2 separate regions of the Mus musculus genome follow, and region 2 is reported to be linked to region 1. Evidence: microRNA targets listed by miRTarBase, many of them from high-throughput screens and not tested one by one. Region 1 holds a microRNA gene; the other region holds the end of a gene's coding sequence.

Region 1 (4,388 bases):
ATGGAAGCATCCAGCCTACCTCCTTCCCAAGGGTGCTCTTGGCGACATCCTATTTCTGGGGCTGACTAGAAGGACACTTGAGCACTCCAGCCAGCCCCAGGTACCCTGCCGGCCCCTCCTCTTGTAGTAACATCTCTCCCATCTTCCCTCCTCAGCTGCTACTCCGCGGCTGCTTGCCAGCCTCTCACTGTTGCAGACTAGCTCTCATTCCTGAGAACACTGTCATAAGTAAAACACAGATCAGATGTGCTCTATGCCCCGCCCCCCAGGTGCAGGTCAGGAGCCTGCAGAATCTGGAGCTGACAAAGCTGTTCCCCACCACACCACTGCCATGCCCCCAGCTTCACTAGGTACCCCCTAATCTCCAACACACCTCCAGCCTGGCATGGTGTCCCTAAAACTTCTCAGGGTGCAATCTGTGGTCCCTGTCACTTATGGAAATGTTTTGAGGACTGGGCTCAGAAAACAGATGAACCCTGTATGTTTAGTCAGCTCCATGGGCCTCCAGAGACACCCTAGGTGTGACCAGGACATCAGCCTGCTTGCCTCCACGTGCAGTAGCTACCCAAGGTACCCAACATCCTTGTCTAAGAACCTGCGGCATTTGCCTTTTGTGACAAAGTTTTTGCAGGTGTGATTGTGTAAAGTACACCGGGGAGGAAGAGAAGATGCTGGGTTTTCACCTGTGTGCCCTTGTAAGAAAAGGCAGGCAGGGGAGCGACACATCGGAGACCATTTGGCAAAGCAGCACACAGAACAGAGGTGTGCTGTCTCCTCGTAGACAGGAGGAATGTGGCCTCAAACCAGGACCCTGGCAGTCACCAGGAAGACCGCTCAGCTGTTAAGGCCTTGAGACTTTAAACTTTGCCTCCAGAAAGTGGGGCGGGCCCTGAGGCTTTCAATGCTGAGTGGCTGCCAACCCCAGGACACTGAGACCTCCACTCTCCTGTGAGTTCCCTTGACAGAAGATGGCACTAGATACTCCAGGGGCGGCAGGGAAGGGGAAGCGGAGGTGAGAGACCTGTGGATGTGTTTGCCTGAGGCAAAGGTCTTCTGTCTACAGCTGGATTATTAACTCTGACCGTGGGCAGTGGCGCCTGAGGGTATCATCAGCTGGACTGAGGGGGTACAGACATTGGGAGCCCCATCTTGAAGGGGGGCACCTGACAAGTATTAAAACTAGCCAGGAGAAATCTAAACTCTCCTATGCTTTCTTTCTGGAAAGAAACTACAAACTTGTTACCATATGACAAGATCCGAGAAAAGAAAAAATGTCACAGAAACAGCGAAGGAAGACAGGACCTGAGCCGCCGCCAGGTAAGACCATTTTTCTGGATTCCATTTAAATTAGAATTTTCTGTGATTTCTTTCAGTGTTCTAATACTGGCCTTCATTCCCGATTCCGATTTCATAAGCTGCATCCTTTTCCCGTGGAGGGTACCCCCAAAGCATGTGACCCTGGGATGCTGAACCCCCCTCCACCTGGCCTCCTGCTGGCCTGCACTATGGTCACAGTGGACATCAACCCATCTAGACTCTAGGGCTGGCGCCAACTGTGACCACTGGGCAGGAACAGCTTTGGCTACTCCGTGCAGAAGCTTAGCTCCCCTGTGGTGGTTGCACCAAATGGCTCCCAAGGGCAGCAGGCAAGAGGTACCCTAGTTAACACAGGAAGCCCTTGGGTGACCAGGTGTCACTGAAACAAGCCTAGGACCAGGCTTAGCGTCACTGGACACATGTTGTTTTTTGACTTGTGACATTTCCATAGAGCCCTGAAAGGGGTGGTGGAGAGGTGAGGCATAAGGTCACCTCTGCCCTCTCCTGCCTTGGCAGGACTCCCCACCCAGTGTTGGGCACTGTTTACCAGAAGGTACACGAGCTGTTACAACAGCGACAATATAAACAGCTTCTCTGTAGCGGAAGCCACCACTCCCACTCACAAGGGGCCAGGACCCACATAAAGTGGGGCCACGCTGGTTAATCATTCATGCCAGTGGGGCCATCCAGGACAGGCAGGGCCTGCAGCCCACAGTTCAGCAACCTCATAGCAGGGCACACAGGGCTGCGACATTGCCTGAGCCCCAGGTTCCAGGCTTAGGCTTTACCCAGTTTGCCTTGCTTTGGGTTCTGCCTCATTTCCAGAAATGAAAATCTCCCTTTTTTAGAAAGTTAAGGTGCCCATTCCTATCTGCCACACATGAGGCAGGCCCAAGGCTCTAAGACCTAGCACTGACTGCCCATTTGTGTGTGTAGATCCCCCTCGAGGCCATCAAAAGCCACATCTCTTTTCTAGTTCTCCCTTGTTCCCAGAGGACTAAGCCCAAGGCTCCCAAAAATTGCTCTAAAGAGTGACAGTGGTGGCACACGCCCTTAATCCCAGCACAGGCAGAGGCAGGCGGATTTCTGAGTTCGAGGCCAGCCTGGTCTACAGAGTGAATTCCAGGACAGCTACGGCTATACAGAGAAACCCTGTCTCGGAAAAAAAAAAAAAAGTGGAAAGGGTCAGAAGCTGTAGGCCGTGGGATCCCATGAGGGCCTGGGATGGGTTTCTGGATAAGCTGGTCTGGGGAGCAGAGCCCTCAGCTTAGAACCGTACTGTCCTGGGGTCTGAAGCCTGCTGCCATTTTGATCTCCTTGGGTGGTGTGTCTGCCACCCTGAGGAAGGAGCTTCTAAACCAGGCAGATGCCTGTTGGCCTCCGTCTCTTCCCAGGGCTTGCATATCCCCGGGGGGTTCGTAAGGGGCCTAGAAGACCTTCACCCATCTGAAAACCCACACCTTACTGACCTGGGCCTTCAAGGATTCATTGCACTTTCCTGACCCATCATGTTCTTCCACTGTAGCACACACGGGGACATCCAAGGGGCACGAGGCACAGTGTCACCACAGGTGGGACTGTGCGCAGAGTCCACTGGTCCCTTAGCTTGGGCCACACCAATTAGGTTCAACAGGACTGAAGTCGCCCAAGTGTCAAGCCGAGAGGGGAAGAGTCCAGGTGGGACAAGGTCCCGGTGCATAGGGCCAGTCCCTGTTCTAGGCAGTTCTGAAGCCTCCTCTCTAAGCTGTGTGCTGGGTTCCTCTCTCCTTTCCTCACACTGCACGTCCTGGTCTGGCCACACTTCTTCCTCAGCCCAGCAGCCACTCCTTCCAGGAGCCTGTGTTCTCAAAGGAGCCCTCAGAGAGTGGCCCCACTACAACCCAACAGCACACACGGTGCCCACTGCAGTAACTGACCCGCTAGCGTTCAGCTTCTTAATGGGTGCTGTTGCTTTGTCATCAGTCCAGTGAAGGCTAAGCAAATTGGCCACGACCTCACCTGCTAGTGGGGTGTCCCCGGGGGGCATTCCCCAGGTTGTCTCGACCAGAGGCAGCAGAATGTGTCAGAGGACAGACTTCCAAGCCCCTGACCCTGGTGCCCAAGCTCCTTGAGCAACCAGCTTGGCCCTCAGTTTAGGAAAACTAAAGGTTCTCTGCAGGGAGAGAGCAGGCAAGCAGCTCTGCCTGAGGCAGTGTTAGTCCCTCAGAGGAAGCTAGCTCACCCTAAGGGCTTTCATAGGCTAGAAGGTGTGGAATGTTCCAGCATCCTTCCCAGCGCCCCAGGCACAGAACAGAGCAGCCTTCCATGGTCCCTCCTCCCCCCATGAGTCTCATGGCTTCAGGGATAGATAACTTCAGGTCAGGAACATTTACTCTGCCCCTCACCCTTTCTAGGGCCGGGGCTCCAGCCACCAGAGCTCCCAGAGGAGAAAGGGTCCTTTCTCCCCTTTCAAGAGACAGCCCCAGAGTTCCCAGTGGCCCAGCCCTGAGGTTGTTCTGCTTAGGGCGTGGGGACACAGACTTACCTCCGCCTTCGCTCCGCATGCCGATGGTGCCGCCAGTGTAAATGGCCAGCAGCCGCCGCTCTGGTCCCATAGCACGCGCCATGGCTGAGACAGCTGGCTCCTCAGTGGGGACAGAGCCAAAGGGAAAACAAGACCGGGAAGCGGAGGGGACTGCAGGGTGGGGCTTACTGGAGGTCTGGGGCTCCTCTGGTTGGTGGGAATTGAAGATCCAAGGTAGGCTGGACCTCGGGGTGTGGAGGAGGAGTCACCTTCAAAGTAGAGAGCGGGACACTTGGACTCTTGTAAAGGGCAGGAAGAATGTCTGCTAGGGATGGGCTGAGACCATAGGAGGGTGGGGCCTCAAAAAGGGGCGGGTTTTCTGGGTTTGCCTTACCTAACTCAGGCCAGGGACCTCCAGAATGCCCAGTCAGGGCCACTCTCCAGTCCCAGTCTAGACACTCTCCACAAACTCCTTGAGTCTCTGAGGGTCCGGTCTCACTTGTGATCTAGAGGCACCAGGAGGGCAGGGAAATGCAGGAGCAGGGTCTTAAGAGCTAGGAGATCCTGA
Region 2 (4,388 bases), not on the chromosome of region 1:
CTGTGCTGGAGAGGTGCTGGTGGATCTCTACGCAGGGATTGGTTATTTTACATTGCCCTTCCTAGTTCATGCTGGCGCTGCCTTCGTACATGCCTGTGAATGGAATCCTCATGCTGTAGTTGCTTTAAGAAACAACTTGGAGATCAATGGAGTGGCAGACCGGTGCCAAATACATTTTGGGGACAACAGGAAACTGAAGCTCTCAGACATTGCAGATAGGGTGAACCTCGGGCTCATTCCCAGTTCTAAAGAAGGCTGGCCCGTTGCCTGCCAAGTGCTTCGGAAGGACGTTGGGGGTATTCTGCATATCCACCAAAATGTGGAGTCTTTCTCAGGAAAGACTCCACAGCCACCTGGAAGCAATAACGTGGAAAAAGAGCACTGGCCTCGTCCCCAGAAAATCACCACTGATACACAGGGAAATGGAACTACTGAGAATTTCAGGGGGGAAATATCATCGGCCAACAAACCAGAGTGGTGGAGATGGGCAGAATCTGCAGAAACTCAGATCGCCTCTCTTCTTCATCAAGTGCATGGGAAACCATGGAGGACACGAATCTTGCATGTCCACCCAGTGAAATCTTACGCCCCTCACGTGGATCACATAGTCCTAGATCTAGAATGCCGGCCCCTGACCTCTAGTTGGCCAGAAGGAGTAGATTTACTGACACAGTAATTGCCAGATGAGTGCCTCATCGAGGGCTGTGTTCTCACCCTTCTGTTTTCTGGTGACCTTTTAAAGTGATCTGTGGTCTGAAAATGAACTCTAGATCGATCCAAAGTTGTCTTCTGTTGATCACATTGAGAATGTATTAAAGTATCAGAGGAAACCAATGTGACTCATTAAAATAGGTTTCACCTGTGCAGACATGAATTCTGCATTTTTTACCTTAGCTTTCAGTGATATGGCCTTAATATTCATTTGGTCTTGGATTTATTTGCATATAGAGCCTCCTTGAATTGGATCGTGTGGCTTTTTTTTCTAGTAAGTCATACAGACATTATTACATGAAATACAGTATTGGTCCCACAGAGTACTAGCTACATTATGTGAAATCAACTGGTAAGCCAAGATCAAAATAGGGAAACCAGTGTCCATTTCTACAGATGTTTTGTAGTTTGCAGGTACAAAGTGACAGTGGTTTGCACTAAAGTGGTAGCCATGGGGTCTTGGAAAATAATAGGTTGGAGAAAAATCAGTGTGACCAAGTTATGAACTCCAGACTGAAGCATTAATGTGATGCTGCTTTGATACCGAGACTAAATTACATAGGAAGGGGCAGTAAGTAGAGGTAACTCAAATTCTATAGCATTTCTCAGTGGAGTGTCTGTGTGTGGGTGTGGTATTAAAGTATTAAATATTAGATCTTTTTTATTTTATGTTAAAAAGAGTTAAGGCATAACTCATGCCTGTAATCTCAGTACTTGGAAGGCTGAAGACAAGATGATTGCTATAAGTTCAAGGGCAACCTTGGTCAAGGTATAGAGTAAGACCTTGTCTTAAAACCAAGGATCACTTCTCTGAACTGTAATCTAAAGTTCTAGCCTTGGGCAGTATAATAGCTGTACAAAAATCCTAAGATTTTTATAGACTTCTTTTCCTGGTCAAGAAACTATAGGAAGCGCTTGCCTTTTGTCAGATGCTGTGAACAGGCAGTTGGTGTCAGGTGTAGCTGGTGGAATTCATTTCACTAAGAGTTGTTCGATCCTGAGTCCCACGTAGCCCAGTTACATAACAAGACAGGAAGGGAAATAAAGACAGCTGGGAAGGCAAAGCTCTGGTTTCCCACAGTATGACTTGTACCTATAGTGGTCAGGTAAGCTAGTGTTGGCACAGAGATGTAGCAGGCATTCTAAGGATGCTGTTGAGTTTTCACCCTGGAGATGTAGCATCCAGGTATGCTAAAACAGGATTACAGGACTTCCTTTATTGAGGAAATCCTTGAACAGTGTTACTAGCCCTGAAAAGTATTTCTTTTTCATTAAAAAAATAAAACACACACACATATACATACAAGATGAAATGTCTAGAAGCAACAGTAGCAGCTGTTGCTACTGTGGGTAGGAAACACAGTTTTCCAACCATCTGATTATAGAGTCACAAGGCTTTCTACTTTCCACTGCTTTTGCCACTAGGATAGCTAATCGCTGAGGATCACATAGAGCTCTGTTTTGACGAACTTTGAAGCCCAGTGAGCTGGTTTGCTTGATGAAGGAGACAGACAACAGGATGTCTTCTTCCTTGTCTTGCTATAAAACCCCGCCTTACATGCGTTGTGCATGCCTGCTGCTCTCTTTCTTGCAACAGTAGCTATAAGGGCTGTGCCGGTGCCTTTCTCATTAAGCACAAATATTCAGTGCCTGCTACATGTGATAGGTACAGAAAATAAAGGTCCATTAGGTTAAAAAGTCCTCTCCCCAGGGAGCTCACAGCTTAGCAGCAGAGAGTACAGAGGTCCTCAATGCTGGAGCAGAGTAGCTGCCACACAATAACTTGCTGGACAGATGCAAAAAGGGGAAGAAAGTTCTGACAAATAAATAGGAAGTCTATGAGGAACTAGAACTGGTACTTGAATTGGTTGAGTGAGATTTTGCTAGGTGGGGAGGAAGCAGAACTAGGCCCCAAAGTTTCAGTGCTCTGGAAGTGAGCCATTGTGATTTGCTTGTAACAGGACATGATGATATGTGTGTTGGCAATGAGACTGTTGTGAGCAGGGTCTTCTACACAGTAAACTCCCAAGGAAATGCTATCCTATGGCCCCACTGCAGAGCCCTGCTTGTAACACTCCTTTCTCAGAGAGTCTTTCCTGTGTTTGCCTAAATTGTCATACTTCCTCTTCACTGACTAGGTTTCTTTGCACTCGTGCGCCAACAGCTTGCCATATCAGAACTAAAATGCTAAAGGTGCCAACTTAGGGCTTGAGTCCAAGGGAGATGAGTCAGAGCACCACTTGGGGACTGAGGAATTGCCTTTTGTCATATGCTGTGACCAGGCAGTTGGTGTCAGGCGGAGCTGGTGGGATTCATTTCACTAAACATTGTTTAATCCTTGAGTCCCAGGTGGCCTGGGTTATATAACAAGACAGGAAGGGAAATAAAGACAGCTGGGAAGGCAAAACACTGGTTTCTCATTACCCGAGGACTAAATGATCAAAGGTGAGCTAGAAACCCCTGATTGGGATTAAAGTTTTCTACAACAGTCAGGTAAGCTAGTGTTGGCACGGAGCAGACATTCCAAGGAGGCTGTTGAGTTCTTACCCTGGAGATGTAGCATCCAGGTATGCTAAGATGGGATACAGGACTTGTATTAAGGAAATCCTTGATCAGCAACATGAACCCTGAAAAGTCTAATCTTTGCCATTAAAAAAAAAAAAATCTGCAACTCCCCAACCCCTGGCCCCGGCTACCCAACTTGTTTATGCCACAGTTGGAATTTTTTTCTTATAGGCAGAAAATGTTTCTTGTATTCTAAATAGTGAACTAAGTATCCGTATGATATATTTGACAGACAGTAGCATACAATATAGGAAACAATAAATAAGCAACCACACAGCAGTGTGGCAAGTACTAAGGACAGATAATAAATCAATAACAGCAGCAGGGCAATGCTCACACCTAAAATCGAGACCTATAAAATCAAGTTTTTTCATTTGCTGTTAATGCTGCCACCTACTGGAGAAGCCGTGGAAATAAAAACTCCATCACAAACTCTTATTGGAAGACCATTCATAAATAACACTAAGAGCCAGCAATGTACTGGATTCAGCAAAGAAACAGTGGACAAAGCCAAACCAAACCCAGACTCCACTGACCTCATAGTGGAAGACCAAAAGGTCACACAACACCCACATATAGCGAGTCCTGGGAGGAAAGGTTCTTGGTGCGACAGGAACCTGTGGTTAAAAGCACACACCTTTAATCCCAGCACCTGGGAGGCAGAGGCAGGTGGATCTCTGTGAGTTTGAAGAAAGTCTGGTTTACATAGCCAGGATATCCAGGTCTATGTAAAGAGACCCCGTTTCAAAAAACAAAACAAAAAGCCAACAACAAAGCCTAACCCCTTGGAATACGTGATGATGGGGACCAAGGAGCACAGGCGTTACCGGTCTAGAATTAAGGATAAAGTACACACACAAGTGCATTGTGGAGGAGGCATCTGAGGGGCTAAAACAAGTTTGTGTACGTGGAGGAGGAAGAGTAAGGGCTGAAGGCAGGATAGGAGTGTGGTGCAGAAGATGTGGAGGCACGTGCCTGTGATATCAGCACTTGGAAGTCAGTGGCAGGATGAACAGTTGAAGACAAGCCTTGATTACATACACAGTGCTGAGTCCCCGTCTCAAGAGCATCTAAATAGAATCAGACATTATTGGAGAATTTTAAAATGAAAA

Evidence for each region. The annotated mature microRNA mmu-miR-3073a-5p reads GUGGUCACAGUUGGCGCCAGCC and lies in region 1 at 1,542-1,563, opposite strand. An mRNA with a match to its seed (bases 2 to 7 or 8) in the 3' UTR can be bound and repressed. Matches are read on the target gene's strand: a 7mer-m8 pairs with bases 2 to 8, a 7mer-A1 pairs with bases 2 to 7 and ends in A, and an 8mer does both.
Region 2: the mRNA of Trmt12 is a reported target of mmu-miR-3073a-5p. Seed matches in the 3' UTR shown: 8mer at 1,202-1,209 and 7mer-m8 at 2,986-2,992.

The regions. Positions count from the first base shown.
Region 1 is chr12:112,106,427-112,110,814 of GRCm38, reverse strand. Mir3073a (microRNA 3073a) reads right to left here and starts at 1,577; the gene lies at 1,493-1,577. It overlaps Aspg (asparaginase), which reads right to left and starts at 4,132. Exons shown (of 15, transcript NM_001081169.1): 1 at 3,842-4,132. The coding sequence starts at 3,923. It overlaps Mir3073b (microRNA 3073b), which reads left to right and starts at 1,506; the gene lies at 1,506-1,565.
Region 2 is chr15:58,873,420-58,877,807 of GRCm38, forward strand. It overlaps Trmt12 (tRNA methyltranferase 12), which reads left to right. Exons shown (of 1, transcript NM_026642.2): 1 at 1-3,362. The coding sequence ends at 676. Among named protein-coding and RNA genes, the nearest start is that of Trmt12, 3.0 kb to the left of the region's middle.